Linked DNA regions of Notamacropus eugenii. The protein of the gene in region 3 purifies or fractionates together with the protein of the main gene of each other region. This does not show direct contact. Links are inferred from orthologs where the notes say so. Each region holds a gene or a part of one and is shown on either strand. Other genes may lie near its edges.

Region 1 (7,832 bases), on a different chromosome or scaffold from region 3:
AAGCAAAGGAAAGAAATATTTTAGATATTATATAAAAATGAACTGGAAAAAATAGCCTTGATAAATTCATGAACAACCATTACTATCTACAAATTACTTTATCACTCAGGCCCAATAATCAGAAATTTTAGGGAAGCAATAGAAATTCAAGTCAACAAACTTAAATAAACTGATACTGAGAATCTGATATTGAATACAAGGTAATGGAAATGAGGTGACACACTTGAAGCTGGATTCCCATACTGAGAATAGTTCAACCAAGAAAGCAAAAAAGTAGGTAGGGGACAGAAGCACTGGAAATATTTACGGGTTTTTTCTTAAACATTTCAGTTTTTTCACGGAGTACATAATTTAAGAGGTCTAGAATTCTTAAGGAATCCTGGCCAGAGATTGCCTGTCTAGGCTCACTTAGACTTTTAAGTCTTTAAAGTAGCAAAGGCCCTCAACTCCTTTTGATCAAATCCAAACTTCACAGAACAAATCCCCTTAATAAAAGGATTTGTTCTGTAAAACTTGGACTCAGTCAAAAGGCCACACCTGAGGACCTATAAGGTCATATGTGGTCTGGAGACCACAGGTTCCCAGCTCCTGGTGTATACTATATAGTCAAATCACCAAGTAATAACAACAGCTGCTATTTATTTAGCCAGAATTACAAAGGCTTTACATACGTTTCATTTGATCTTCAAAACAACTCTGATAATACCAGATTATTGAGCATCTATAACTGAATGAAATTGATTTTGTATCATATTTCAAGAAAATGGAATCTACAATTACTGCCACATACCTACTGACTGCCCCTTCAAGGTCTCTCTGTTTGGCTGGGGGTCCTCCTCCACTATCTGAGAATCCACGCCTAAAATGGAAAAATATCAAGACTTTATCTTAAGGGGGGAAGGGGAGGGTGTATACACACCAGTTTTTACAATGAAATTACAAATAATCAGTTGAATACATTATTTTAAAAATATCCTTAGAATGAACATACCAAAAAAAAGCCAAAAGAGTGCAGTAAGAAAGTCCTTACATAAGGTGAAGAATAATTAATTCTAGAATGCTAGATCTCTCCCTTACCAAAAGATGGTGGTGGAGAACTCAAAGACCTTAAAATGACATATATTTCCTCTTAGCTATTTCCATTTCTCATCAAACTTAATTTGTTATGTAACAGAATTTAAAGAACTAAATTTTACAAGTCCCAATAACACACAAAAGACAGTTCCAAAATTCAAACATATTGAAATACTTGAAATATTTAACCAGTGTTAGTACTTCTGAAAAAAAAGGTTTAAAAAACCCCATCTAAATTTTAATAAGTTGTATGTTAAACTCTAAGCTAGTGTTTTAAAGACAAGAGGTCTAAAAAGTGCTCAAGGTACCTTCAATAGTTAAGATAACATAAGAGAATTTTAAAGGTGAGACTTAAAGTATAAAGGATAGGGACTATACCAGTGATTTCACAAAAAACAGGAATTTCCAGGTGAGGAAACTCCCTCTATTAATGCAGGTTGGCATCTTATCTACAATTTATCTTCTTATAGAATTTTCTAGAGAGCAGTGAGGTTTAAGCAATTTGAGTAAACCAGACTTAAATTTTTTTTTTTTACATCAGAATCCACCATGAATTTAAAACTTTAATGGCTGTTATTTTTTTATATGACTTAGTAAGAAGTTCAGTTCAAGAGAAATGAGAGGTGGCACTTACCTTAGCAATAAACTACCACGACCCCTACCTCCACCAGGGCCTGAGAGAGCGAGCAATCGAGCTTGGATGGGTCTGTAAAGAGAGTTGGGAATTGGTATACTGTGAAACAACAGCTTATACATGTAAAAGAACCACCGAATCAACTGTAAAAGGAAATAAATTTTAAACAAGGAAAATCACTTAAGTAGACCTCTTAAACGTATTCGGTAGATGTTGGTGATTTTTAGATTAAGGTTACCCCATTAAGTATTTTCTTACAGATGTTAATTAGAAAGAAGTACGGGCTCGACACAACCTCAAAGCCCCCCAAATTCCCATGTCGGGTTGGCCTAGCCAAGTCTGGTTTACAAATTCACGACAGTTAATATATCACTCCCCCCATTCGTGATTTATACAGGCCAAGAGTGGAGGTGAAACGTCCGAAATCTCCTTTATACACAAGGGCTGAGTAGAAACATACCAAACTCTTCTTCATACGGACATGTATACACACATATATTTACATATACATATAGTAAGGCCAGGGAGGAAAATAAGACCCTGCCGCCAACCTGCAGGGAGGAACAGGAAGCCAAAACGTGGTCTGGAGGCTTCATCGTGGAGCGCCCGAGCTGAGCGGTCCGGGGGCCGCCGGGAGTGCCTCCGCCTGGGGCCAGGAGGGCCGAGGAAGGCCGTGAGCCTTTGCGGCGAGCTCGCCGGGGGCTGCAGCACCTCGTGGGTTAGCCGGGCTGGGAGCGGGAGGCAGGGGCACCGGGGCCCGGCCTTTCCGCAGGCCTCTCCGGCTGCAGTTCCCACACGACCCGCGTTCCCCTCACCACTCCCCCTCCCCTGAAGACCACGAGACCAACGCAGGGCGGCGACGGTGTCTCAGAGCCGCCCCTGCCCAGGGGGAGGCGGCCCTGCAGTCGCCCCCCCGCCCCGGTAAAGGTCCGGCTGCTCCTGCCCTCTCCCGATGCGGCCCAGGGTTCGCCGCCTCCCCTGCCCCCACTTCGCCCAGGCCCCGCGTCCTCAATGGCGCCGAGAGCCCTTCAGGGGAACCTCACCTCACGTCATTAGGGTCCCTGCCGGTGAGCTTCCGGATATTCTCATCCACATTTTTTAAGCTCTCCTTGGCTTTTTCCAGCTGCTCCTGCAAAGTTCTCACTGCGACCGCCATCTTCTCCACCCGTGGCTGGTGCGGAGGCAGCTCTCAAGCCAGGTCGTCCCGCGTCGCGAGATCAGGCCGGGAGTGATAGTTAGAATTAGCCAATCAGGAGCGGGGTTGCTCTCGGCCGTCGGCCACTTAGAGACTTCAGGGGCGGAACTAACTCACTTACAGAGACTTGACCAATAAATAAAGCCACAAGGCGGCAACCTGTGCAGCCAATGGGGTGGCTTCCTTTTGGGAATAGTGATGCGTGCAGAGTTCGGGAGGAGGCGGGGCTGGAGGTCTTTCATTTACTGGAGGGCGGTATCTGCCAGAGCTTGTAGGTTTCAAGTTCACCAAGTCCCTTCTCCTTGTCCTCTGTAACATTTCATGTGAATGGGGGCTATTTTTATGCATTAATGGGGAGGATGGAAGGAAGAATGGGATGTGACTCAGACCTCCACATCCATCCCTCATCTCCTTGCTAAGCTTCATGCCAACATTTATGTTTCAGCAGCGTGCTGGGCTCCCCAAGGAAAAGAAAGAGAAAGGAAGAGAGTACCTGCCTTCTCTCACACAGAGAAGAGGAGCTCTTATGGGCCATGACCGTGTCCACGTGCCCGTGGGCTTTGGGGCTGACTCAGTGCCAGCCTCCATACCTTCATAACTTTCTGCCATGACTGTCCGTTCATTAAAATCTCAGGGTTCAAAAGTCGTCTAGCGGATATACTCTGGAACGTTATCAGAAATGACCAAAATTGCAAAGACTCACAAATTGGCCTTCACGCTAGACTAAAATCAAGGAAATATCTTGTGTTGTGGGCCTCTCAATCTTGAATCAACTTATGGACTTGGACAAAATTATTGCTAATGGCTACATACTTTATTAGTAGTGTGAAGCAACATGAAGGTAAACCAAATCCACCCCATTTGGGTTTAGTGCTTTGATTACTTTCACTTTTTTTGATTGAATCAGAACTGTGTGAACAAGGCCTGTAGACCTTGGGTGAGTCACAAGGCCATTGTGTGAAAGACTTGGGTCATACCCTAAGCACTGTTTATTAAAGGGAGAAACTACTTTTAAATTGGGGAAGAAGACATTTTGTTTGGATTCAAGAGGTTGAAGGAAGGATGGAGCAAAGAGAATTCTGAACTATGGCGGAGAAGCATTGAGTAGAGAATATATTAATCTGAGAATATATTAAGTAGAATCCCTGAGTTCTACAGGCAGCACAGAGAGGAGGATCCAGGCTGAGAGAAGTTCTAGTAAAGGATGAGATGTTTCCCCAACTTCCCTTCCTAGTTCCTGATTCTCCAAAGACATTCTATAATCTGTTTCTTACCTAAATGTTAAATTTGGGTAAATTTAAATTATTGTAAATTAAATTTTTCCTCAACCACAAATATGGCAGTGATTAACTAGAGACAGATATAAATGTAAGGTTTGGCAGAGTACCTAGCCTCCGCTTAACACTTTAGTAACTTTTCCTGAGGTCTCAAAAAAGCTTATGACTGAATTCAGAACTTTTCATCCAAAGTAAATTCCCTAAAACTGAGCTAATTATTACAACAGGGTGTTACATGAAGATAAATATATACAACAAAGTATATAAATCTGCAATGAGACTCACAGTTAAAGTCACCTCTCCTCCACCCTACTCCCAGCTTGTGAAGGTGGGGGAGCCACTAAAAAGCAAAAGGTTAAAATTTAAACTTTTGAGTGAAATTTTCCCAGCATTATGCTGTAGAAAAAAAATGTGAAGAAACCACTGACTCCACTTCTACTCTTACCAATTGCCATAGTTGCCAATTCAACATGGTCTCAACTCCTCCTACTCTCTGATCTATATGCTTATCTACTTATCTCATTCCTACCTCTCTGTTACCCCCAAACTTAAGTAGATGTCTTTTCCTCCAGGATACTAGACTGAGCTCTCCTGAGTGCCTATGAATAGTCCAGCCCTAGGATGCTATTATCACAGGAAGGTCCTCCTAATTCTCCATGATCTTAGAGAGATTTTCCAAAGGTTCTGTGATCCTAGAAAGGATCTCCAAATTCTCTGTGATTCTAGGTCTTAGCAATTTGAGGTTACATAAGTTTATATAAAATATATACATATAATGATACTTCTGGCACTGGTCCAGGGTGATTCTTTTCATCCATCAAGGGGTTCCTAGCTCTAGAACCATATATACAAGCCAAGTTCAGTCCTGAGATGATCCTGACCTCTAAAGAAAGAGGCTAGACTCTTTGCCTCAAACTTTCCAGTTCTTTATACCTCACTTTGTACCTTGTGGGAAAATCACTTAAAGTTTTGGTTTGGCTTTTCAAAAAAGAGGAGAACAGGGCTGGAGCCAAGATGGCATATTAGGTGCAGCAAACCAGCTGAGATCTCCCAACATTCCCCTCCAAATAATTTTAAAATAATGCCTCAAATAAAATTTTGTAGTAGTAGAGTCAACAAAAGGTTAGGGTGAGACACCTTTTCAAATCTTAGGAAACATAAGTTGTTGGCAAGAAAAGTCTGTAACACTGGGGTAGAAGCCTGTCTGGAGCCCACACACACAGTGATGGCAACAGCAGCAGCTTTGGGAGCTCTCAGCCCAGAGACATAAAGAGGGTCAAAGGACTGCTCAGAAAGAAATCAGAGGGACCCTTTGCTGGCTCTAGGTGCAGCTAGTGCTGATTGGCAACTCTATTTTATAGGTAATTCTGGTTCACAGTTCCAGAGCAGAGAGGAGTGCTGGAAGTCAGACACAGTGGAGCAGGTGCCTAGGTCACATAGTTTCAAAGCAAAGAGGAACATTAGGCTTGTAACTGCAGGGGACCATGGACTATTCCTGGGTAAAGATCAGAGCCCAGACCAGGGGAACAGTGACCACACCTTTCCCAGGATCACACCAGCTTGAAAGTAACAAAAACTTGTAGAACCCTAGAGCTAGCTCTAAAAACAGCAACACAAAAAAAAAAAGCCTGAAGCAAACTCCAAGGCCTTCCCACCTCCAGATAAGCAGGGTCCAATTTTAACCTAAAGTTCAAAGCCAGGAAATAGGCTGGAAAAATGAGGAAACAACAGCAAAAAAGAATTTAACCATTAAAAAACTACTACAGAGGCAGGGAAGACCAAGCCATAAACTCAGAAAAAGCAATGTGAAAACAGCTACCAAAAAAACCCTCAAAATAAAAAAATGCTGATTGCCCCAAACCAACAAGAATTCCTGGAAGAGTGAAAGAAAGAGATAAAAGTGGTAGCAAGGAGGAAAAGAAATGAAAGTGATCCAAGAAAGTTATGAAAAGAGAATTAACAGTTTGGTTTTTGTGTCTCTTTTGAGACACAAAAAATACTAGAGAAAATAACACCTTAAAAACCAGACTTGGCCAAATGGTTAAAAAAAAAAGCACAAAAGTGCACTGCAGAGAAGAGCTCCTTAAAAAGCAAAATTGGCCAAATGGAAAAAGAGGTACAAAAATCTCACTGAAGACAATAATTCCTTGAAAATTAAATTTGGGCAAATGGGAGCTAATGACTTCAGGAGTCATCAAGAAACAATAAAACAAAATCAAAAGATTGAAAAAATAGAAGAAAGTATGAAATATATTATTGGAAAAGCAACTGACCTGGAAAATAGATCAAGAAGACATAATTAAAGAATTATTGGACTACCTGAAAGCCATGATCAAAGAAAGAGCCTAGACATCATATTTCAAGAAATTACCAAGGGAAACAGCCCTGATATCCTAGAATCAGAAGGTAAAATAGAAATTGAAAGAATCTGCCACCAATCACTTCCTGAAAGAGATCCCAAAATGAAAACTCCCAGAAATATTATAGCCAAATTCCAGAGCTTCCAGGGCAAGGAGAAAATACTTAAAGCAGTCACAATTCAAATATTGTGGAGCTACAGTCAGGATCACACAGTATTTAGCAGCTTCCATATAAAAGGAGCAGAGGGCTTGGAATATGACATTCTGGAAGTCAAAGGAGCTAGGATTACAACCAGGAATCACCTACTCAGCACAATTGAGCATAATCCTTGGGGGGATGGAGGGGAGGGAAGAGAGAGGAGGGGGGGAATGGATATTTGGTGAAATAGAGAATTTTCTAGCATTCCTTATGAGAAGGCCAGAGCTAAGCGGAAAATTTGACTTTCAATCTAAGACTCAAGAGAATTATAAAAAGGTAAACATTAAAGAGTAATCATAAGGGGCTCAATAAAATTAAACAGTTTATATTTCTATATGAGAAGATGATACATGTAACTCCTAAGAACTTTATCATTATTAAGGCATTATTAAGTCATAGGTGTTAGCTGATTATATTGGAATTAGGTCAAAAAAGTTAATCAGGAAAACTACATTTTGCTGAAAGATAACATAGACAATGAAGTAATATCAAAAAAATTTTATAGCAAGTTTCTCTGATAAAAGACTCATTTCTCACACATATTGTGTATAGAATTGAGTCAAATTTATAAAAATAAGAGCCAATTCCCCAACTGATAAAAGGCTCAGGGATATAAAGAGGCAGTTTTCAGAAGAATAAATTCAAGTTATCTACATTCATAAGAAAAAATGCTCTAAATCACTATTGAATAGAGAAACGCAAATTAAAATAACCCTGAGGTATTACTTCACACCTAGAAGAGTGACAAATGCTGAAGAGGATGAGGGAGAAATAGGTACATCACTGAACTGCTGCTGTAGTAATGAACTGGTCCAACCATTCTGGAGAACAATTTTGAGCTATACCCAAAGGGCTATAAAACTTTAACCCATCAATATTACTATTAGGTTTCTATCCCAAAGAGAGTAAAGAAAAAGGAAAAGGACCTATATGTACAAAAATATTTATAACAATTCTTTTTGTAGTGACAGAGAATTGGAAATTGAGGGGATGCTCATCAGTTGGGGAATGTCTAAACCAGTTGTGGCATATGATTATGATGGAGTACTATTGTACTACAAGAAATGGCAAGGGGATGGTTTCAGAAAAACAA
Region 2 (7,778 bases), on a different chromosome or scaffold from region 3:
AAAGTAAAATACTTTTCACTTTGAAATAAGTAAGTTGTAAAAAAAGTTCCTAAATCCCACTAAACCCCCCCCCCCCATTTTAATTACCCTCCCCAATAAGATGAGCTGTTCTTCATTAAGAGACAGTACTGGACTTATGATTTAATTGTTACAGAGAACTCCTGAGTGAGGAAACTCCCTTTACCAACCAGGTTTGCACCTTCACTGTAATTTTTAATCCTGAGTGAGCTCTGAGAGGCTAAGTAACTTGTCCAACACAACAAAGCCAGTATATGTCAAAGAGAAGCCTAGAACCCAGTTCTTTCTGGCTTTGAGGCTAGCTCTCCATCTACTACACCAAGAGATCTCTGTCACTGTGTATCGTCCTTTCAAAATGGAAGCCATCTGTCTCTTTTGCTGAATGAGCACTGCAGTCCTGCAACCACTCTAAACCTCCAGCATTCAGCTACATACAAGTTACAGTCCTACCCCCACAGCAAGGACTCCCCTCCCCTGACCCCACACACCTAGAGCACTTATTCAGAAAAAGGTCGTCATTACAATGTTCTCTGAACCACTCAGAACAGATCAGACCCATCTGGAGATAGATCTGTGGTACATTCAAATGGTGCAGGTATATGGGGGAGGATGGAGGAAGGAGGGTAGAGTGAAGGAAGGAGAAAAGAAAGGAAGGAAAGTGTTAGAAATGAAAAAGGGTGTAGGGTAATCCACTTTTTCTTTCACTATTCAGAGCTCTAACATTTCTTGCCTCTGTCCCATGCTCCACTACCCTCCCCTTCTTTTTTTCATCTTCTGGAAAGATGAGTCTGGAGAAAAATGTGTGGCTAAGGGTAACTATTTGCTACAATCTGCTACTTATGCTCGGGAGAGACTATATTATAAGGTCTCTTCTCCAGCAAATTCTTTAGACACTTCCGTGGCTTCCAGGAAGCTAATGAGTCCAGAGGTGCGTGGGGGTGGAGGTGGGTGAAGGGTGGATAAGAGAGCTGCCTTGGACCATGGAAACCGCCTAGTAGGGGAAAGGTGGGTTACTCTCGCTAGTACAGGCAGACATAGAGCCCCAACCCAGGGAGGGCGCGTGGGAACAAAATGAACTTGGGGAGAAGGATGGGGCGCAGGATCTTCCTCCCTCATTTTTTTCCACCTAGATCACTTCGCCTGCTGCATTGCCGGCCTTTGGGAGTCGCGTGTGCTGTGTGCAATCCCGCGGCGTCAGGCAAAGCAGAGTGGAGCAGTGGGGGGCAGGGAGGAGGAGAGCCCGGCGAGGAAGCCCCCTGGGCTCTCGAATGGGAGGAGGGGGGCGGGGTGGGGGACTGCGGTCCCTGCTGCAGAGTCTCCTCCGAAGGGAAGGGAACACGTGACAGATCTGGCCTCTGCTTCCCAGTGCCGGGCTCCCAGATCCCAGCCCCAAAGCTTAGAGAGCCCAAAGACCGACCCGAGCGTCTCCCTTCCCTGCGCCTCTGGCAAGAGCCCTGGGGAACTGGTGGGATAGAGAGGGAGGATCACGGGGGACGTTTCCAAGCTAGTCAGGACTCCAGCCTGAATTAGGGCTAGACTACCCCCTCCCCATCCCCGTCCGCTCCATCTCCAAGCCTCCAACCTGGATAGAAGGATGGAGAGCCCGAGCACTAGGTGGGGGATCCAGGATGCGGAGGCAGGGGATGCTGACAATGCTCCAGCTCCACCCACTACGCCCCTGAGGGCCGGCCGGCCGCCGGCTGCTCCCTCTGTCCCTCCCTCCCTCCCACCCGCCCGCCTGTGTCCTTGCTGCGGCGCTGGCCGAGGTGAGATTCCCGGTGCCCGTCCCTGCCTGGCCAAGTAAGCGAGCGAAGGAGCGAGCTCACCTCTGGGCCCCGCATCGCTCCCGGCTTCCTTCTCCGACATGGTTGCGCCTGACCCGCACAGCCCAGAATGAAAAGCTTCCCAGCCAGCCCCGGCGTTAGTCCGCGGCTTCGCTCCTCGGCTCGCAGCTCACTCTGGGGTCCGAGCCATTGGGCAGTGCGAGGCTCTGACGCGGAGGCGGCGGCTCCTCCTCCCCGCCTCCTTCCTCCTCCTCCTCCTGCCTCCCCCCGCCTCCCGCTCCAGCTCTGGATACTGAAGCCTCTGCGTCGGTCAGAGGAGCGGTCCCCAGAAAGTCCCTGCCTCCCACCTCCCAGTTCTCGGAGCCAGAGGGAAGTCTCAGTGTCTGACCCTGGAGCTTTAGGCCCTTCTTCCCCTCCCCTTGTCCTCCTCTCTGCAGGGCCCCTCCCATTCCAGATTCTTTTTCTCTACGCAGCTCGCCCCGCACCCGGTCCCCACCCCGCGCCCGGTCCTTGATCCAGAGACCCTCTTGGCTAAGATCTGTCTCTGACTCCGGATCCCACCCAAGGCATAGAGTTCCTTAGTGGGTGCAGAGACAGCAATCTGACGGACTTCGTAATTACTGTAGCTTTCTGTTGTCAGAAGCTGAAACTCTTAAAGATAGCTACGCGCTCCGCATTCTGATTCCGGTCAGGAAACCCTGACGCTTGCTATATTAACCCTGACTGCAGTCTCAAGTTCAGTTCCTCCTCAAGCAGTCCCAATTACGTTTTCCCCTCACTTTGGGAACCACAGCCTTGTCAAGAACCAGAAGGCCCTGGCGTTTTAAACCAAACGGCACCCAAAGAGGATATGTCTAATGCAAACCTATGACTTTTGTCGCCAATGAGGGGAAAGAGAAGCATTAAATAAAGAGAAGACAAATACGTAGGAGATAAAAATGCAAAAAAGAAACGGAAATTCAAGCTGCAGATCAAGGTGGGGATAGATCTCAAAGGACCCTTCTAACTTAAGATTCTAAAATTCCGTAGAATGAAAACGTACTTTCTTGAGACCATCGATTATGCAGCTACTTTGAGCCACCCAATAGTCCAGAAATAGAAGCTCTCTCTGAATGTCAAGGCAGTGCCTGCAGTACTCAATCTGGTGCTGGGCTGCCTGAATATAGCTTCGACTGTAGGTGTTGTGAATAATCCAGAATAAAAAAACTCCATAGCAACTGTTTGCCCAAGTTTTCTTGGATGCCGCATGCTACTTTCCATATGTGGGTTCAGATTCGGTCCCTCTTAAAGCTCCAAGAATAATGATAATGGTATTGCCAGGCCTCCGTAATGAATTCATTAATCCACATGAACCATTCCCCCATCCAACTTCTTTACAAACCTAACTGTTGACCCTGTTTTGTACGGATGGACCAGTCACCTTATTAGTTCCTGACCTTTTCTATAACCATCAACCTTTCTGAGGTAAGGTCCAAATAGATGCTTTCTCAGGGTCTTGTTCTTGAATTTTGAACTTGTGGGATACTAGGAATACTTATGGGGCAAGTAAGGCCAGCTGGTGGAAGTGAGAGATCTTTAGCAAGAACCCAGCTTTACCTCTTTGAATTAATGCCTGAAGGAATAGAAGGAATGATTCCCCAAGGTTATAGCCGTAGCCGGAGTATGTGTTCGTCCTTCCTTGCCGAAGACCATGCCATCAGAGAAATAATGACATGACTTGCACTTGACTTTGTTTTGAGTGCGGAAGGTCTGTGCAGGTCACTAGTCTCACTTCTCCTCCAGAGCCATCTGAATCCAGTGGCAAGATATTCATCAGGATGACTTGGAGATGACAAGATGAGGCAATCGGGGTTAAGTGACTTGCCCAAGGTCACACAGCTAGTGAGTGTCAAGTGTCTGAGGTGAGATTTGAACTCAGGTCCTACTGACTCCTGCACTGGTGCTCTATCCACTGCACCACCTAGCTGCCCCTCTGGGGCTGGAGAAATTAAGACTAAATTGCATAGGTCTTTATGCAGTTTTTAATATGGAAAGAGTAGGTGAAGGATAGCTTTCCCGACTTTCTCTTTCTGACTGTGAATCTACTTGTTCTGATCAAGTATCCCTGGATTTGATGTCAGAAAACATTCATTCAAATCTTGCATCTCATTTAATAATTGCATGGTTTCAAACATGGGCCTCAGTTCCTCCTACTGTTAAAAGAGAAAACTGAATATCACCATTTAAGAGGTCCTTTTTGCCAGCTCTAAATCTCTGATCCATGTTTTGTGGGCAAGCCAATGTCCTCCCTTACATACAAAATGGGAACCCATTGCATCTTGTAGCTTTCAGCATCTCTCACAGGAGAAAGTCAGTGGCATCTCTTGATCACTGTTACCTACAGAGTAGTTACCAAAAATCATTCCTTATTGCTGGAGCACCCAGGGTCCTTAGAGACAAGAACTAAAAAAATGTTGAACGAGAAGAGAACAAAGTTGTGAGAATATGGTTGAATATCTGAATGTGACTTAAGGATGAGAAAATGTACAGCAAATGTTGGAGACAGAGCCCTAAAGGGGGAGAGGGATTGGAGTAGAGGAAAAAGAAAGAAAGCCCTTCACTAATGCTCTGTTTTCCCTTTGAAGAGGAAACCTGAGTTTGAAAAAAGTCATTAGATTTTTAGTTAGAGGACCCAGATTCAAATGCTGATGGTGTAGCAGCTAGGTGCATAATCAGGGGTGCTACATTTGGAGGCAGGAAGACCTAATTTCAGATTCCACCCCAGATACATACTACATATGTGACCCTGGGTAAGTTACCTAACTTCTCTCTGCCTCAGTTTCCTTATTTGTAAAATGAGAGCCTATCCTGCAAGAGTGTTGTATGATCAAATGAGATAAACTTTTAACACATATAAACGTTTTTGTTGTTTTACATACTTTAAAGCACTAAATGATGATGATGATGTTTCTTGCAGGTATTTCTGAGAAAAGGAAGCCTTGGAGATTATCTGGCTCAACTCCCTCATTTTCCAGAGGAGGAAAATGAGGCCCAGAGAATTTAAAGGACTTGCCCAAGGTGACACAGCTATTAAGTGTCAGAGCTAAGGGACTCAAACCCATATCTTCTCATTTTGAAGCTGGTACTATTTCTGTTATACCTGGATTAAGTCCTTTAATTTTTCTGAGCCTCAGTTTCCCCACCTGCAGAATCTGGGGTATGACAGACAAGAGCATCCTCACTTCATTATCGAATATTTACTGACTGCCTACTTTGTGCAGAGCCCTCACTTCACTGGACAGTGAGGCCTAGATGATCCCTAGGGTCCCTTTTAGCACTAACATTCTATTATTTTACCCCATAACCAAGCCACATCCCTGTCTGCCTAGCAAAGCCATTTTATATTTGGCAGCTTATAAACGTAGCTGAGATAGGCAGGGCTTGACTCTCAGGGACAGCACATACAAACATAAAGAAAGTCTGTTTGACAGCTGCCTAAATGATGTCCAGCTGGAAATAGTGCTGCCCATCTCCAGTGTGACTCCAGAATACCAGCGGCAGGGTTCCATCCTCACCAAGTGCCTACAACTCGCATTAATGTTAAGAAAAGTATGAGTGAATGGAGGCTGAGAGGTAGGGGATGGGAGTACAATGGATGACCTTTGGTCCTCAGGAGAGTAAGAAATTAACAGCTTCATTTACAGTAAAACAGAAAAGGCAACACCTATTCTGTGTTTGATTTGTAATATGCAGCCTCCATGAATGTCCTCATACATCAAAGCATGTAACTTAACCTTTTATTTTCTCTCTTCATCCTCAGAACTTACCATGGTGCCTTCCCTATAGCAGACAGTTAATAATTGAATTGAATCTCATTTTTTTTTTAAAGCTTCTCTTAAATTGGAGTTGACTCAATGCATTGGGCATGGGAGCAGATGACTCCACCTCACTCTCACTTTTAAACAGTTTCATCCAGAAAGCAGTTAAGGAAACAAAGTACTGAACTACTGGATTCTGTTCTCAGCTCTTCTGTCATGTGACCCTAGGCAAATCACTTCAGTTTTCTGGGTCTTGGTTTTTACTCATAGAAGGAAGATTAGGATACCTGGCCTCCCTATCACAGGGTTATTGTGAAGGTCAAATGAGATAACCCATTTGTGAAACTACCAAGTGCTATGCAGATATGCTGCACCATTATTATGTCCAACAGAACCTCTTCTGGCCAGCTGCTGAGCCACATGTTAACCACCAGGAACCTCAATAGTACCATACTTATCCTGCTGTTAAAGTTCCCTTTACTGCAGCATTAAGTGTAGATCCAATTCTGAATTTCAATAGAGGAAATTTTAGGTTGACTGATACTTCAAAGTGATTTATACTCTGAGATATACAGTACTTGGAGTTCTGCCTATGAACTAAGTATTATGGCAAGTGACCCATTTATAAGAGACCTAATAAAATGAGTTTTACTTTTAATAAAATAAGATTGATTTAACAGGAATGAGATGAGCACAACATGCAAATACAAAAAAACCTTTCAGGGGAAAAAAGCAATAGTTCGTATTTATGTAAAAGTTTAAAGTTGAGAAAGCATTCTTTTAACAACATCTGGGTAAGGTAGGTAATGCTCTTATTCCCATTTTAGAAACTCAGAAACAGGCTACATGTCTGTAAATGGCTTGCTAATTACAGATCAAAATTCTAAAAATAAAAAGAGCAGCTGATAAATTTTTGACTTGTCTGAATGATTGTTTCATTATTCAAAAGCTCGAGCAAGCCATGAAGAAAATAATTCTGAACCTGATGCTGACCACTGTGAAGGTATTGGTTGCCAAAGTATAAATAGAAGGACTCTTGGGAGAAGGAGACCACAGAATCTGACAGTACATGGAAGAGAAGGGAAGGCAATGCATAATCTCACATGTATACTAAATCTGGGGATGGCAGATTTCCAAGAGTTCAGGGAAATAACAGATGCAATCCCATGACCTAAATTTCTTCATGGGAAGTCAATTCCAAAAGATGGGATGCTCTGAAGAATGAAATTCTTGTGGCATAAACAGAAGTTGCTACGATGAGCAACGAGGAGGGGAAACTTTCTAAAGACACTTATGTAGGTAAATGTGAGCTAATCAAACCCACTTGGATTTTTAAAGGCTACATACAGAAGGGAGAAGCAAAAGGAAGGAAAATGGCCCAATATTATAATGTAAGGGATGCTAAAGACCAGCATTAACTTAGGTTGGCAATGAATAGTAAGGACAACAAAAAGGATATTTTTTTCAATTATATTAAGGACAAGAGAAAGATCAAATAAGGCACACTATTGCTGCTTAGAAGGAGTAAATTACAAACTGAAGAGAGAACTTCAATACTTGTTTTTTGCTTTTGTTATTGATGCCACAGAGAATGGTTTTCAGAATGAAAACTATGGAACAAAATTGATCAATAATTGAAACCCATAAGTTAAGAGATGGTAAGAAGGCCCCTAGTCACGCTCAAGAGGACTTCAATAGAGTGGATGAACTACAGTATCAGAACACTACGAAACGTTATTGACATGATTGCTGAGCAATTGTCAATTATCTTTGAAAAATCACAGAGGATAAGAAAATTGCCACAGAACTAGAGATGAGGAAAGAATGCCCTGATGTTCAGAAGGGAGTAGGGGAAAAGTAGATTATTAAACTATAAACTTGTGAGTAAGCTTGACTTTAATTAATAACACAATTGCATAACACACCATTAAAAATGATTAGTAAGAACTTAAAAAGGCAGGGTGAAGCAAAGATCACGAAGAGCTAGTATGGATTCAATCACAAAACATGTCAAACTAATCTTGTTACCTTTTTTTTTAAGTTACCAAACATTTAGATTAGGGGATGCCGTAAATAAATTATATAACAAGACATTTGGCATCTTTTATTGCGGTTGTTGTTCGGTCATTTCAGTCATGCCCAACTCTTTGTGACCCCATTTGGGTTTTTCTTGGCAAAG
Region 3 (7,093 bases):
GAAAGCACACTTAAATGAGCATTTGGCCGATGGGACACAAGCATTTTCTCCTTAATCCTCTTGAATTGGATTGTTATGTTGCATAACTTTTCTTTCCCTGTTTCATTCATTCAACAAGCATTCATTGAATACATGTTATGTTCCAGGCTCCATGCTAGGCCCTGGGGATAGAGACAAAAATGAGATTGTCACTGACGTCATGAACCTACCTTCTATTTGGGAAAACAATATGTACACAGAAAATTAAATACAGAATAGTTAGCAAGTAGCTCTGATGTTAGTTCAGGCGTTCATTGCTTCTCAACAAGAGAAGTGTAACAAAGGCTTGCAACAGTCTTCTACATAGTCTCCCTGCCTTATCTCTCCCCTCTCCAATCCTTCACACCGTGGCAATTTGCCCTGGGGTTTGCAAAGCACTTTACAAATTTTATCTCATTTAATCCTCACAACAACCTGTATTACTACCATTTTACAGATGAGGAAACTGAGTTGGAGGTTAAATGACTTGTTCACAGGGCCACATGGCTAGTCTGACACAAGATTTGCATGCTGGTCTTCCTCATTCCAAATTTAACACTATCCATTGTACCACCTAAGATGTCCCTAAGTGCTTTCCTCTCTGTGGTTTCCTTGGAATCTTGAATATACCTATCTATGTATGGGTTATCTTTGTATGTATGAGTTGTCTCTCTGAAGAGCTTTGGTATTGATTGTGTGACATGGGAGATGCTGGCAAAGGACCACCCAGCATGATGTGCCCACATCAAAGATGGCTCTGTTCTCTATGAGCAAAGCAGGATTGCAGTAGCTCAAAAGAAATGTGAGATATGCAAATTTAGAAGCATCTCCATCCCAAATGTTCATATGAACTATTTTTGCCCAACCTGCGGTAGAGCCTTCTGAGCTTGTATTGGTCTGATCAGCCACAGTGGAACTCACTGTAACTTGATTCTAACATAGTGATGTCATTTTGATCTTCTTTGAGAAAGGACAACAACCAACCAATTTCCCCAGCTACAATGTAAGCTCTTCAAGAACAAGGTCTGTTTCCATTCTGCTTTTAAATCTCTAGCTCTTGGTACAATGGTGCTTATTATGCAGGACCCTCATTGATTGATAAAAAATAACTTCTACTGGGAGACCAGTAATTGTGGTTGGGCTGGTGGTGGATATTGGGGTGAAGTCCTATAGGAATTAGCACTTGAGCTGAGATTGGAAGGTATCTAGGGATGCTCTGAAGCAGAGATGAGGAAAGAGAACATTTCAGGCATGAGGCACAGGAATAAAAAAAAAAAATCAATGCAAACTAAAACAATGGGGGCAGAGAATGGGAGGGGAGGGGAGTGGGATTAGACGGGTGATTTCAGAGGTATAGGAAACCTGTTCTGAAGAAGTGCCCTTTGGCAAAGGAGGACACCTGCTCTTCTCAATTGTCTAAAAATGCTACAAACTGTGACTATAAAGCAATATTCCAAGCTACTTAACAGCTACAAAGGTATGCCATATGCCAAGTGCACCTGATTTGTATCTGAAGTGCATGCAACTGGTTCCCTTTTAAGCCTACAGCCTTCCTCACTTCAGTGCCAGGCTGTTAGAAACTGCCTGTTTCCTGCCTTCTCTATATAGAAGCTAGAAGGATGCTGGGACATGGAGTCTGGCTTGAGCTTGCTTAACATACTGCCTAGTCATTCTTAGTGATGTTAATGATGTTTCTAGCTCACTTACATATGCTATACCTGCAGGCTCAAATTGTGGGCACTTCCATAATGGCCTATAAAACATGCTTGGTTGCACAGTTGATTTTTATCATGTTAATAAACTAAGAGATGCCTGGAAATGGCTCTTATTTCACTTCAGAGCACCTGAAACTGGGAACTTTCTGGGAATTCAGGTGACTTCCTAAATCATTTCCATTTTTTCCCTTCAGTTTAGCAGAAACACTCAACAAGACAGTTCATCAGAATTACTGTGGGGTAAAAGATACTGAATGTTTTAAATCAATGGAATAGGAAATCTATAAACTTTCTTTCCAAACATTTTAGTTGGGGAGGTTTAGTGGGGGTGTTTTGGGAAGTCACTAGGAAATGTCTCTTAGTTTGCTTAAGCTGACAAGGATCATATATACGTGTGTGTGTGTTACATATGCACACATATACATATACTTATATATATATATATATACAAATACATACATAGATTTGTGCATACATATGTATATTGGAATGACCCCAGTAGCTTCCCCACTCTGTAAAAGCCTGAGGAATACTCAAAATCTCCTGACAAGGAAGGTGAATCATCCTGTTAGAATAAGAGCAACATTAACTGTGGAAAACCCCTTTTCCTTTCAGTAGAAAATTTGGACATCAGCTAACCCCCTATTTCTCAGGAATCTTCCCTTCCCCCAGAAATATGAATCAGCTCCAGTCTCCGGGCCCAGGTTCTTTGCTCCCTTCCCTCAATTCCTGGCCCTACTAGACCCAGATAAAAGCCCTATAAAAACAAACAAGCAAACCAAAACCTTCCCACACTTTATTGGTTTAGGAAGATGATGCCCCATTCCATCTGAGATCTGAGACCTGCCCTGTGTCCATCCTGCCTGATGGCCCCTTCATTTTGCAAGCATCTCCCCTCAATTAAACTGGCTGGCTTTCCAGTCTTGGCAGGAACTCCATGTTTCCTTAAACTGGGTTTTGGGTACAAAGATTTGGTACAAGAGTTTGTACTAAGACATAATGTGTATGTGTCTATTTTAAAAAGCTCTAGCTAGGCTAGAGTACCTGTTTTGCCCTTATTACAGGTCTTTAGCTCTGAAGCTAACTATATATGAGGGTCAGGTCTTCATTCCTACTCCCAGTCTAAAAGCAGCAATTTTAAGTGCAATGCTAAGCACCTTTTAACTAAGTGCTGATACCTGATGCTTCCCCAAAGCAATAATGCTGCTCTAGGAAAAGATAAAGGGATCATAGAATTGAGGAAGGGCCCTTGGCAATGCGTTTGGTTAGCTTCCTCCTTGTACACAGGAAGTCAGTTGGCAGCGTGGGGATAGAGGAAAGTTTGGCCTCAGAAAGTCTTCTAATCCCTGAATTCTGCTTCTTCCACTCACTACCGTCATGACCTTGGATGAGGGAGTGAAAGGTGAAATTTATCTTCCTTTCCTTGTTGTGAAGTTTAAGTTCATGCGACTCTTAAAAGAATTAGAGTTGCAGCAGGAAAAGATTTCTTCAAAGGCCTCAGTTTCCTGTTCTGTAAATTAAGTTGAACAATGGAATCCTTAAGGTCCCTTTTAGCTCTAATTTAAATGATCTAAGGAAATTTAGACCGGAAAAAGTTTAAATGATTAGTTCAAGGTCGCAACTAAATAAGAAACCCTGCCAGAATTCAAATCCAAATCTCTTCATTCCAAATACAATGCGGTTCCCACACTTCTCTCCTGGAGCTTCTCCCTCTCCTTCCCCTCCGCCTCCCCGCACCCCATCTTAAAACTCTGTATTTTAATCCAACAAAGGTATGATTTGTAAATTGCGGGAATCTTCTGTTTCTCCCTTCCTCCCTTCTCTTTTCTCTCCCTGTCATCTTTCGCCTTCCTTCTTTTAAGATGGAAATAAAAAATTGCGTGCATAGCAGTTCACCCAAATCTTGACTGCTATGACACTCTTTTAAGGGGTTGCAGGCACTTAGCTAAAAAATCATAAGGGTATATTTTCTGTGCATTTCCCTTCTTCTCCGCCCCTTTTACCCCCACCCCCAACACCCTACACTATCTTCACCTCTGCAAAAAAAAAAAAAAAAATACAGCGGGAGCTGGATTCTCTTTCCTCTCAAATGTGCCAGCTCTGAGATCCCGCCTGATTTAAACCCTGGCGAGGCAGTGAGAAAGAACAGCACTTCTGCTGTTCATTGCACAGAGGTAGGGAGAAGCAGAAGAGAGGGAAGGGGAGGCCCCCAAATGAGGGAACGCCTGGAATGATGGGGACAGCCAACTGGGAGGCACTGTGGGTGAGCCGGGGGCGGAGCCGCCGGAGCTGAGGCTGAGCCGCGCGGGCTGTCAGACTCTCCCAGGACTGTGCGCGCTGCAGGTGGGCACTAAGAGGTGCCGCTGCCGCCGCCGCCGCCGCTGCGGAAGCTCCTGGTCTCCTCGGCTCGCTCCCAGAGCCTGCCGCAAGTCCATCCTAGCAGAATACTGGGAGATCGAAACCGGGAAAGTACAAAAAGAGAAAGAGATCTGCTGCCTAGGGACCTGCGAGCAGACCCACCTCTCTACTCTGCACTACTTTTTCCATTGAGGAAGGTTGAATTTAGTGGGAGGAAGCAGGCTCCAGGAGGCAACGGAGGAAGGAGCCTTCTGAACTCAGGTGAGGCATTTCTGCCCCCCATGCTGACCTCCTGGTTCCTAGTTCTAGTCCAGGGCTTGCTAGGCTGGGACACAAGCTGAGCTGGAGGGACCCCCCCTCCCACGCCTGTCCTTGGCTTGAGGTCAATGGGGAAAGGGTGATGGACCAGGGCTAAAGGCGCTGAGTCTGGCTGCCACTTAGCCAGCTCCCGGGAGCAGAATGCTCCGGACTCCCGGGCGTCCCTGTGGAGGCAAGGGACAGAAATAGAGGTGCTGTTTAAGGTGGCAGGGGATTTTTTTTTTTTTTAAGGTGGACAGGCTCCTCTCTTTGCAAGCCTTTATAGACAGCCGCAGCATGTAGCCTCAGCATGGCTGGCTCCTCCATGGCCAAGAGGATGTGCGCCGGTGAACAGCGAAAGTGTAGAAATATTTAATCTCCCCAAAGGAGGAGCCTTTGAAGGTCCTGTGTTTCGACTTGGCAACTTCTCCTCCCGGTATTTCACACCCTCCTTTCTGGTTGCTTCTGCGTTTTGTTTTTAATTTGAATTATGACTTATGCTGATTTGCAAACACTTGAAGTGGCTTAGCTTGCAAGCTCGCTCTTCCCTGCCTTATCCCTTCTCTTCCTGCAGTTTCAACGCCTCCCCATAGAGTTCAGCGGGGCTCTGGGGAGTCGGCTATCATGCAGCCGTCATGTAGTTTGTATGTTAGAGGAAAGGTACCATACTTCTTGGCCGCCTGGAGCTGCGCCGCAGGGAGGGGTGCGTTGGGAATGTAGGCGAGCGCCCCTTGTAGCCTAAATTGGATGTCAATGGAACAGAATCTCAGATTCCAGACCTTGTTGGGCTGGGAGCTTGGCAAGATTGGGATGGAAGTATGGCGCGGGGTGAAGGGGGGCGAACCTTGTTACGTTTTTAATTTTTTTTAAAGCTTGGTATGAGGTATAGGAAGAGGAGGGATTCTAGTCCTACATCTGAACGTTTTCTTTCCCTTAGCCGTTCAGTTCTTGCCTAAAGGTAGTACTAGTTATCCACCTTGAGCATCCAAGCTCAGGATATGTGGGAGAGTTGCGCTCCCGCATGTGCGTGTGCCTGTGTGCGTGTGTGTGTGTGTGTGTGTGTGTTTTCTTGGGAAAATGAAGGCACAGGGAACCCATTCGTTCTCTCTGCTGGGATCTCTAGGACTCTGCCACTCATCGCAGCGTGTGGCCATCATCTTGTCATTCCTAGAAGCTCCAGCTCTGAATCTTCTCTTATCTTTTTTTCTCTTCTATTTTTCCTTAAGCATAAGCATTATCCTGGTTAAAAATAAATTGGTAGGAGGCGGGGAAGGGGAATGGGGGAGGAGAACCAAGGGATTTTTTTTTTAAAGATAAGACGATCTTATTCTTTAAGATAAGGTTTAACTCCCCTATAGTTAACGTTGAAATGGCCAGTGATGCAGGTTTGTGAAATACATCTTCCCACCCTCTCTCCCCCCAAACGAATAGCAATATGTATTTAAGAAGCCCAGAGGGGACCGGGTAGGGGGGCGCTGTTCCTTTCTCAGAATTAAGATCTTTCCCTTGCTTTGGGACTTGCTTTCTCCCGAAGAAGAACCCAGTGGTTGCCCTGCAGCTAAGGGACTGAGGTAGTCGTGTTGCCTAAGTTAATGGATTCCTTGATGGAAGGAATATGCTGCTGAGCCATACCTTTTCCCTCGCCTGGGCACTTAACCTTCAGCAGTTCGAGCAGAAATAAGTAGGTAGAGGAAAACAGGAGTAAAAACGAAACCCTCAAGGGTGCATAAGGCTGATCTAGTTGCTTTCACTCATATCACACCTAAGTCAGAGCTAGAAATTCTGCATGTGCCGATTAATAAGGAAAGATTTGAGTTTCGTTTAAAGTTAGGGAGTGGATCTGCAAATCTATGTGCTGGGGAGGGGGTGGGGAGAGAGGACTGATTGGTTGTATGAGCCAAAGCCCTCACTAGCTGCAGTCGCAGCCACCGCAGCAGCAGCACTCAGCAGCCAGTCGCCCCTTCTGAAATTCCCCTAGCTCAGAGGGACAACATTACTACCAACCTCATCTTTTAATTTTGGAGAACTGGAAAAGCTTTTTGTAAGCTTGCCAGGCTACTTTCAGGCTGGTGACCTTTCTGCACCGGCTGATGGTGATAAGGAGGTGATTTTGGAGTGGGCATTCCAAGCAGCTAAAACATGAACCTGGAGGATTTATTAGATTAGGTTGGAGGATGAGAAACTGTGATTTGTAATGAACACCGAAGGTTTCTGTGTAAAACGGCAAAGCTCAATAATCTTCAAGATGTGATCCTTCTATGCTTCCAGGCTTTCTATTTGTCACTTTCTTTTTATGAAATCAGGTGTTTGAGTAATGGATTAACATTGAGTAGGGCTGGTTGACAGCTCACATGTAATACACTTTGAAGTGCATTGGATTAGGAAAGAACCAAACCTTATTATTGCAGCCAGAGGAGGATGGAATCTACATAAAAAATACAAGTGGAAACAACTCTAACTCCAAATCAAATTTTGCTTTAAATCTGAATTCTATTTGATCAAAAGCAAGCAGTCTGGGAGAACTGTTAATGAATGAGGGTGAAGTGGGGTGTAGTGATTATTAAATTTTCCTTGATAGGCTTTGTAAGAATTCCAATCAGGCCTCTTAATACCCAAATCTGGAATTTCACTGGGGTGAGAGTGGGGAGGGGAGAAGGATTGGGGATTGTATATTTCACAATGCACACAAATGAAACTCAGAAAAG

The links. Proteins that work in one complex are often made in the same cells at the same time.
Region 1: the proteins of EPB41L3 (region 3) and PNN purify together in Homo sapiens (co-immunoprecipitation; 3 studies listed by BioGRID and IntAct, with this or other methods). This does not show direct contact. The link is inferred for Notamacropus eugenii from reciprocal best matches to the Homo sapiens genes EPB41L3 and PNN.
Region 2: the proteins of EPB41L3 (region 3) and HSPA12A purify together in Homo sapiens (affinity purification with mass spectrometry; 4 studies listed by BioGRID and IntAct, with this or other methods). This does not show direct contact. The link is inferred for Notamacropus eugenii from reciprocal best matches to the Homo sapiens genes EPB41L3 and HSPA12A.

The regions. Positions count from the first base shown.
Region 1 is NC_092872.1:331,961,005-331,968,836, reverse strand, and holds the start of PNN (pinin), read right to left. Parts: upstream 3,014-7,832; 5' UTR 2,865-3,013; coding exon 2,752-2,864; intron 1,781-2,751; coding exon 1,709-1,780; intron 860-1,708; coding exon 791-859; intron 1-790. UniProt on the Homo sapiens protein: Transcriptional activator binding to the E-box 1 core sequence of the E-cadherin promoter gene; the core-binding sequence is 5'CAGGTG-3'. Capable of reversing CTBP1-mediated transcription repression.
Region 2 is NC_092872.1:196,119,465-196,127,242, forward strand, and holds the start of HSPA12A (heat shock 70 kDa protein 12A), read right to left. Parts: upstream 3,014-7,778; 5' UTR 1,885-3,013; coding exon 1,845-1,884; intron 1-1,844. UniProt on the Homo sapiens protein: Adapter protein for SORL1, but not SORT1. Delays SORL1 internalization and affects SORL1 subcellular localization.
Region 3 is NC_092875.1:238,189,397-238,196,489, forward strand, and holds the start of EPB41L3 (band 4.1-like protein 3), read left to right. Parts: upstream 1-4,088; 5' UTR 4,089-4,352; intron 4,353-7,093. UniProt on the Homo sapiens protein: Tumor suppressor that inhibits cell proliferation and promotes apoptosis. Modulates the activity of protein arginine N-methyltransferases, including PRMT3 and PRMT5.